Nothobranchius furzeri: one gene and its partner. The protein of the gene in region 2 purifies or fractionates together with the protein of the main gene of each other region. This does not show direct contact. Links are inferred from orthologs where the notes say so. Each region holds a gene or a part of one and is shown on either strand. Other genes may lie near its edges. The genes, in order: stk40 and trib1.

Evidence for each region.
Region 1: the proteins of trib1 (region 2) and stk40 purify together in Homo sapiens (affinity purification with mass spectrometry; 3 studies listed by BioGRID and IntAct, counting the BioPlex papers as one, with this or other methods). This does not show direct contact. The link is inferred for Nothobranchius furzeri from reciprocal best matches to the Homo sapiens genes TRIB1 and STK40.

What each region holds. Positions count from the first base shown.
Region 1 is NC_091745.1:70,998,873-71,002,691, reverse strand, and holds part of stk40 (serine/threonine-protein kinase 40), read left to right. Parts: intron 1-1,973; exon of another isoform or gene 1,974-2,177; coding exon of another isoform or gene 2,178-2,285; intron 2,286-2,923; coding exon 2,924-3,047; intron 3,048-3,422; coding exon 3,423-3,508; intron 3,509-3,819. UniProt on the Homo sapiens protein: May be a negative regulator of NF-kappa-B and p53-mediated gene transcription.
Region 2 is NC_091759.1:11,480-15,747, forward strand, and holds the start of trib1 (tribbles homolog 1), read right to left. Parts: upstream 2,937-4,268; 5' UTR 2,355-2,936; coding exon 2,043-2,354; intron 702-2,042; coding exon 409-701; intron 1-408. UniProt on the Homo sapiens protein: Adapter protein involved in protein degradation by interacting with COP1 ubiquitin ligase. The COP1-binding motif is masked by autoinhibitory interactions with the protein kinase domain.

The DNA of each region.
Region 1 (3,819 bases), on a different chromosome or scaffold from region 2:
AGGTTAACATGCTGGTGGTCCTTGCGCGTAACAAGGACATGACCGAGTTATAAATCACAGTTACGCCGGGGACACACCGGCCGCGGAAGCGCCGCGAAAATGGGACCGCCTTCATTCGGTGCCCTTGTTAAGCTATTCTAAGCGTCTGATCTGAACTGAGAAACGGCGAGCAGCGAACGAATTTCGTGAGCGATTCGCTTCTCGGCGCTTCCGCGGCCGGTGTGTCCCCGGCGTTATTCTTGTGTGTGAAAGTGAACTGACTGTGCCTGGGACATCTCATTTTGTTAGATGTTGAAGCCAAATTTGCATTTCAAAGTTAAACCTCCTGAATGTTGTTTTTAAGTTCAGTCAGAGAATGCCGTTACTGCCCTTCGATCTGCATTTAATAAAGTGTCAAAAATGGCCATGTATTTTTTCTAACATTTTTTAAATGTGTAAGCACAATGTTTCAAAGGAAATATTGCCATGAGTTTAGTAATTAACAAACAAATTTGCTAAGTACATAAATAAAAACGGGGTGCAATAATATCGCATACCGCAATATTGAGCTGCCCTGACTCACTGCAGGGGGAATTCCTCAACCGCGACAGCCCTAGTCTCCGCTTTGTTTTGGTTGTTTTGGCGTTGACATCATGCTAGCACGCAACGTTCTGTGACTCTTAAAAAAACAGTAAAACGGTGAGAAACGCTGGCAGCGAAGGCCGTTAGCGATCAGGAAACGGCTGGCAGTGAATGAGTTAACGATATTGTGTTATGATACCAAAGCAAAATTTAAAAGCACTGTGTTTGTTTTCTAACGGAGAATATACATGCCCTTATTTACTGTGTTTCTTTTGTTTGGTATAATTCAAACTCCGACTGCTAGGTGGCAGCGGTTCTGACTGCTTTCATTGTGACGGAACCACGAGATCTCACGATAACTCTGGATGTGTCTTGGAAGTAGCCTGGCCTGCCAGACTCCTCCTCTGTTTAATTCTGCACAGAGAAAGGGTCTGGCAACTCTCCTGTTCAAATAACCCCACCTCGTGAGAATTCTAACCGAGCCAATCAACACTGAGTAGCATACGACACACACCATAACGCCGAGTTTGTCGAACATGGCGACTGAAGCGGAGTTCGCTGCGCCTCTTTCCCCTGTTCTCAATGACTTGGACACAACAAGTAGACGCGCTAAAAGTCTTTCTTCTAAAGAAAGATGTTTGCGCTGTCCCCAGACTCCATTTTAACTACAGCTAAACAACTACAGGGTCCCGGACGTCACACACAGCGACGCTCAGTTCCTCATAAACAATAAAGACAGCAGCGGAGTTCGCTGCAGCTCTTTCCTCTGTTCTAAATGACTTGAATGTCTCTAAAACCACAATTAGAGGCGCTAAAAGCCTTTCTTCTAAAAAGAAATAAAAGATGTTTGCACCGTTGTTAGACGCTGTTTTTTTTTTTACTACAGCTAGAAAACTACAGCGCCGTGCGATATGGTCGGGATTTCAGTCTTTTTTTCTGATTGGTTACTTTTGAGCTGCCTAGTCCCGCCCCTCATGCGCCTCTCTGCCTGTGAGTTACCAGACTCTCTTCTCTGTGCAGATTTAAACAGAGGACGAGTCTAGCAGGCCAGGCTATCTTGGAAGCATCTGGCCTGATATTCCGATTAAGTCCAGCCTCAAATATCTCATGGCTTTCAGTATCCTTTTTCTCCAACGTCACCTGATCACATGGGTCTGCCATATCAGATGGCAAAGGCACAGTAAACAGTGAGCAAAACAATGTTTAGTATGGCTTCATCTAGTTCAAGCCCAGTTCACTTGTGGGCCGACTTTGTCTGCTAGTTCTGCCAACTGCACAGCAGCTATTACCATTTTACTGTGAAAACAACTAAATGAAAGCAATAAAAGCCACAAACTGGTTTGTTTTGACTAGCTTCAATGAAGTTTCAACATGTGTGAACAGTCTTTTTACTGTCCGCCATGTTTAAGGGGGTGGTCCCATGAAGAGCAGCCTGATGTCACGTGCAAAGGGTCAATATGTCGTACCGCCTCCCCTGTAACGTTATACAAATGGCATCACCAGATACTCGCACATGTTAGAGGTTTGGAGACACCTTGATTGGTTGTCACCCAGACATTTAAATATTTCCATCCAGTGAAAACTTGGGATGACTGCAGGGTGGCTCATTCCTCTCGATGTGTGGCTCTACTTCCTCATTACGAGAAACAGATGGTGTTTCATCACACAGACGTTCGGTATCAGCTGAAAAGAATGCACACCTCTCACTCGCTGGCTTCAGGAAGGTAAAGGAGATCGGCTCGGTCGGTTAAAGTAGCTTAACAGCGATGTGTCACACTCACTGGCATGCACAACCCTGCTTCCTTATCGCCCTGCCCACAAACCTGGTGGCTTTTCTTTTATATTTTACATTTCTGCCTTGGTAAAACATGCACTCCCTTTTAAAGTGAGGTCTGTATAGATAAGCCGGCTGTGCAGATTAAAAATCCAGGGATTTTCTAAACCCAAGTCCACCGCTGCAGGATTAAAGAGACCAACCATGAAGACTTCTGTTTGGCTCGTTTTGTGCTTTTATGGAGATTGAATCTGAGGTGTTGCCCTTGACACCAACCGCCATTATTTTAAATGGAACCTTAATGGGTTTGCTTTAGCATTGAGGTGTGTAAATGTGTGTGGAGGGGGCAGGAGCTGCCCTGAACTCTCTTTACTCATGACCAGCCTGCGTGACCTCTGCTGAAGCTCTACGTTCGCTCTTAATTCTTCATTAATGCCGTTTTTCTTAAATTACCGTCTAGATTCTAGACTTTATGACACAAAGTGTTACGATCTACCTTTTAGAATGTGTCTTTACCACCAGGTGTGTGTTTTCCCTCTTACTTGACTATCTTTAGCCCACAAACTAATCAGATTTGTTTCCTCGTAGAGCTCCAGGATGTCCAAGCGGCGCTCGTCAGAGAGGGGAGCTGGAGAGACGTCGAGGGCCAGCCAGCTGCAGTGTCCCGGGATAAATGGCAGTAATGCCAAGAGAGCTGGCCCCTTCATCCTTGGTATGGGATTTTATTACCACGTTTTACCCAAAGTGTTCAGAAGAAGTGGCAGCATTTATTTGCAGAAAACTCGGGAGAACTGTGAGCTGCGGAGGGCTTACCTACTCCCGCCTGGGACAAGAATTTGAGGAATTTTGCTGATCCCCATGACATTGGCCAGAAAGGCCCAAGTCTGAGTTGGAACAACTTTTCTTCCTCCATTCTTTCTCGTTGCCTGTTTGTTTTTCTGTGCCTAAGCTATTTGCAGCATTTGGTGCCAAAGGCAACGTTACACGTTGGGTGTTGATGGGCACACGCACATGGAGCCCTTAATGAGTTACAGTGAGAGCACATGCTCTTTTGCTTACACAGCTGTTCTTTTCCTTACCCTTGCAGGACCTCGCCTGGGCAACTCACCGGTGCCGAGCATAGTTCAGTGTTTGGCCAGAAAAGACGGCACAGACGACTTCTATCAGCTGAAAGTAAGTCTGTCGGAGTCTGTGCGTTCTTTGCTGCGATCGCTGTTTCACTTTTGTTCACACAGTCGCTTAAACCTCAACAGGCGATGCAGAGTCAAAGCAGTAATGTCTCAGAAGATCCTCGAACCTTTGACCTTTCTTTGGTGTTCGTTTTATTGCCCGTCTTTCACAGCAGAATGTGAGCCTGGAAGCATCTTTACTAGGATCATCTGATGCTTTTCTAACAACTCGGGGGGGCTCTAAAGTAGGGTGAGAGGATAAAGAAGGAAAGGAAAGCCGTTCACCTGGACGTCCTCTCCAAAATCACCATTTGG
Region 2 (4,268 bases):
AACCTCCTACTCTATCTGTTCCCACGTCTGAATCTGCACACATGGTCTGAGCGGATCAGCTGCTGCCATGTTTGTGCCACTATTCTGCAGCCGGAGCATCCAAACAAGGTCATTCTCAGGATTGATCTTAGAACTAGCTCAGAAAAGAAAGAAAAGTTGAAATCAAATCTTAGTGTTTTTTCGTCCATGGAACATCTTTCAGGATGTAGTGACATCTAGTGGTAAATTTGCAGATTGCAGCCAACTTTGTCCCAAAGGTCGAACTTCTTTCGACGTGAAATTCAAGCTGAATTTTTGTGTGTGATCATTTAAAAACCTAAAAGTCATCTTCTGTGCTTTCTGCTGGTTGAATCAACATAAAAGCACAACGGTTCTCGCCTCCATAAAGAAAACATCAGATCGGCTCACCTTTTCTCATCTGCAAAGACAAACTTGCGCAGTTTGAGGTCACCCAGCACGATTCCCTTCTGGTGGCAGTGCGCCACAGCCTGAGCCACCTGGCGGAAGAGCCTGCAGGCGTGTCCCTCATCCAGCCGGCGACAGCTCTTCACCAAGGTGTGCATGTCCCCAAAGTCTTTGTCCAGGAAGATGTAGGCCTTGCGTTCACCAAGGATGATGTCCCGGATGCCAGCCACGTTTCTGTGAGCTGGTAGAAGCCCGTAGGCTCTGATCTTCTCCAGGTAGGCTGCCATGTCAAAGACCTAGCGGAGAGATCAGAGAGGAGGAAGGGGAGGTGTAGGGATGCAGAGTGGAAACATGAAGGAAGGAGGCAATAAGAGTCAGTCTTCCTATCATAGGAGGTAACAAGTGGGCAAATATAAATATATATTACATGTATGATTTTCAACGGCTGCTTTTTGCAAAAGTGTTTTGTTAAATGATTGAATTCATAATCAAAAAGGCCTCCAGGGATTTTGTTTTCATGCAAACCTAAACAGAATCTGGAGTATGGGGCACCAATTAGAAAATGTGACTGTTGGAATTCTGGCTTGTGAAAAGGAATTAACCTAAAAAAAAGTGGGTTTAGGAGTGATATGTGAAACAAAGTTTATAGGATTTACAGAAAGCAACAATTGTTTAAACAAAATTCTGCAGGTGTATATGAATTTGAGCACTGTTGTTGTATTTGATTCTAAATATTTAGATTTTTACATGAATATAAATATTTTGATTAGATTGTTGCTAATTAGATGGAACTTTATGTACTAAATGTAATTGTATTCTAAATGTTTGATTTGATTACTTATTTAGATTGGATTATAAATGTTTTGGTTAGAAACTTCAATGTTTAGAAGTAACTTTTCATATTCATTTTTGATTCTAAATATTTTGAATTCATTGCTTAAATTTTAGATTTTTATAATAAATATTTAGATTTTTGTCTTAAATATTTAGACATAACTTATATTTAGACAGGATTCTAAATATTCAGAATTGATTTCTTAATATTTAGATTTCATTGTAAATATTTAGAATTTAGCCTTAAAAATATAATGTTTCGATTTGATTGTAAATATTTTGCATTAATTGCTTAATATTTAGATTTTTATTCTAAATATTTAGATTTAGATATTCATATTTAATCGTGAATACTTATGACGGTCACCATTACTTGAAGCTAAATCAGGCTGGGATTTTTTTAATGCATTACGTCACCTGATGCCTCATACTGGTGCAGATATGAGTTTTTATCTGGATAGATTCTAATCTTGCATTATTATTATTCTGCTGAACATGTTGCATTTTACTGTCACGGCTTGGCAGTGACGTGTATGCAAATGAGCCGAGTTGAGAGACAGTGTGAATGCTGAGCATGGGAGACTGTTTCCACAACATGCAGAAAGGCGACGGCTGGTCTTGATTGCGTATTTAAAAGACTTCTGGTTATAAGGGGGGAAGCATTAAGAAACATTATTACGCAAAGGGAGCGTGAGGATGACATTTTGCTGAAAAGGTGAGCTAAATACGGATAGCGTGTCAGACGGACTGTTGAGCAACATCATTCATTCAAAGAAATTGCACAATGACCTGATTGCGCATACCTTGCACAGCAGCTCATCGCCAGTATCGGTGTTCATCGCACTGTGCATGCTCTCCCGGTCCGCGAGCGGCAGCAGGAGGAACGGACCTATCCTGGACGGTCCCTGGTGGTGGGGAGCCGGGTTGGCCGCGGGGTTGAGCGGGGACCCGGGTGACGTACCCAGGAGTCCCTGCGCGTCCCCCGCCTCAGCGCTCAGCCGGGCGCACTTGGCCGGCGGCTGGTCGTCCGAGTCCAGCCGCTTGTGCGCGACTCTCCGGGTGCAGGGTGCAGGACTGCTCCACGGCAAGTTCATCCTGAACGACCGGCTCGCCATGAAGATAAAATGATATAGATGTGAATAAAATCAAGCAAAAAGATGCGTCCCTTGGTGGTTAGAACCCACTCCGTCTCATAGCTGGCACAAATCAAACTTTACGCGTTGGCTGATAATCCAGACCGCGTCCTTCTTCTTCCTTTTGAGGTTTGGATCAGAAAAAAAATCCACAATCAAGGAGGGAAAAAAAAGAAAAGAGAGAGAGGGAGAGAAAGAGAAAGCGGGGGAGAGGAGGGGAGACCGCCTCACACTCAGAGAGAGGCTGAGAGTGAGAAGCTCCGGTGATGAGCTCTGAAACACTCCGCCCGACCAGTCCAGCCTCCTGATGACACAAGCGTTGAGCAATCCTGTAGCGGCACCGACTCCAGCTCACTGTGCGCGTGTCTGGTGACGCTAGATTTTACCTTTCAGAGAAATCAGGATGTTGAGAGTCTCAACATTCCTGCACTGAGCTCTGCGATTCCGCTGATACATAAACAAGAACGTGAACGCACCACCGGGAATGAGACCCGCCTCTCACACCTCATCACGTTTCAGACGATCATTAACAAACTCGGAATTTTCTGATCTTCAGCTCATGTTGCCATTTATCACCAGTTAGAGCAGCAAACAGGAGAACTTGTCTTCCTCTTGTGATTAGAATAAAAAGCTCCTGAAGAAGATGAATGTCATCTCACTTTCAACAGGGGTGCCCCTAAGTCAGGTCAGAGGGGGGCACCCCCCCCCCACTGCCCACCCCCAAATTGCCGTTAATTGATTAAAGATTGATTTTTAAATATTTTTTTGTGGAAAATTAAATTAAAAATGAGGAAATGAGCTTCGGTGAGGTGCAGCGTTCACAGTCGCTGGTCATTTCCTTAAGAACACTTGATGAACTGCTTGCTAACACAAATAGCTAAGCAGTCATCTTATCTTAATAATGTTTTAGATAAGTTCCAATCAGGCTTTCGTAAGATGCACTGTTCCACTGAAACAGCTCTGTTAAAGGTATCTAATGATGTACTGACTCTGGCCCATGTACTGTACTGGTTTTATTGGATTTGTCTTCAGCTTTTGACACGGTTGACCATAAAATTCTGTTACATCGACTACACAATGTCCTAGGAATTTCTGGTACGGTTCTGAAGTGGTTTTCTTCCTATTTAAATAACAGAACATTCTCTGTATGTGTAAACAAGATTAGGTCTGAAGTCACATTTTTGCTTCACGGTGTTCCCCAGGGCTCGGTCCTTGGCCCAGTTTTGTTCCTTTTATATATTTGCCCTCTTGGGGAGATTATTAAAAGCTTTACTAAAGTGTCCTACCATTTATATGCAGATGGCATTCAACTGTACTGCTCTTTCAAGGACACAGAGTTTAACAAGTTAGCTGATCTACTTGATTGCATTGAGCATATTAAGGACTAGCCAGTAACTGTCTTCAGTTGAACTCAAGCAAGACCGAAACACTGATCATTGCTCCTGAACAGAAAGTGCTTTTAATCAAACACCTCGGTTCCCTGAGCTCCTCAGTCCAGACCAGTCTCAGAAACCTTGGTGTTCTTCTTGACCAATCCATGTCTTTGAGCTGCCACTCAAAACGTTTAGTAAAAAACTGCTTTTTATCATTTGCGAAACATTTCCAAATTGAGAGCTTTTACTTCAAAATCGGACTTGGAGATGATTATCCATGCTTTTATTTCTTCTCGTTTATATTATTGTAATTCTATCTTTACTTGTTTTAACAAATCAGATGTCAGTCGTCTCCAGTTGGTCCAGAACGCTGCAGAAAGGCTTTTAACAGGAACCAATAGAAGGGCTCACATAACACCGGTTTTATATTCTTTACATTGGCTACCGGTCAAGTTTAGAATTGATTTAAAAATTTATATGCGGATGACATTCAATTTAGTTCTGACTTTTAGAGCTCTTAATG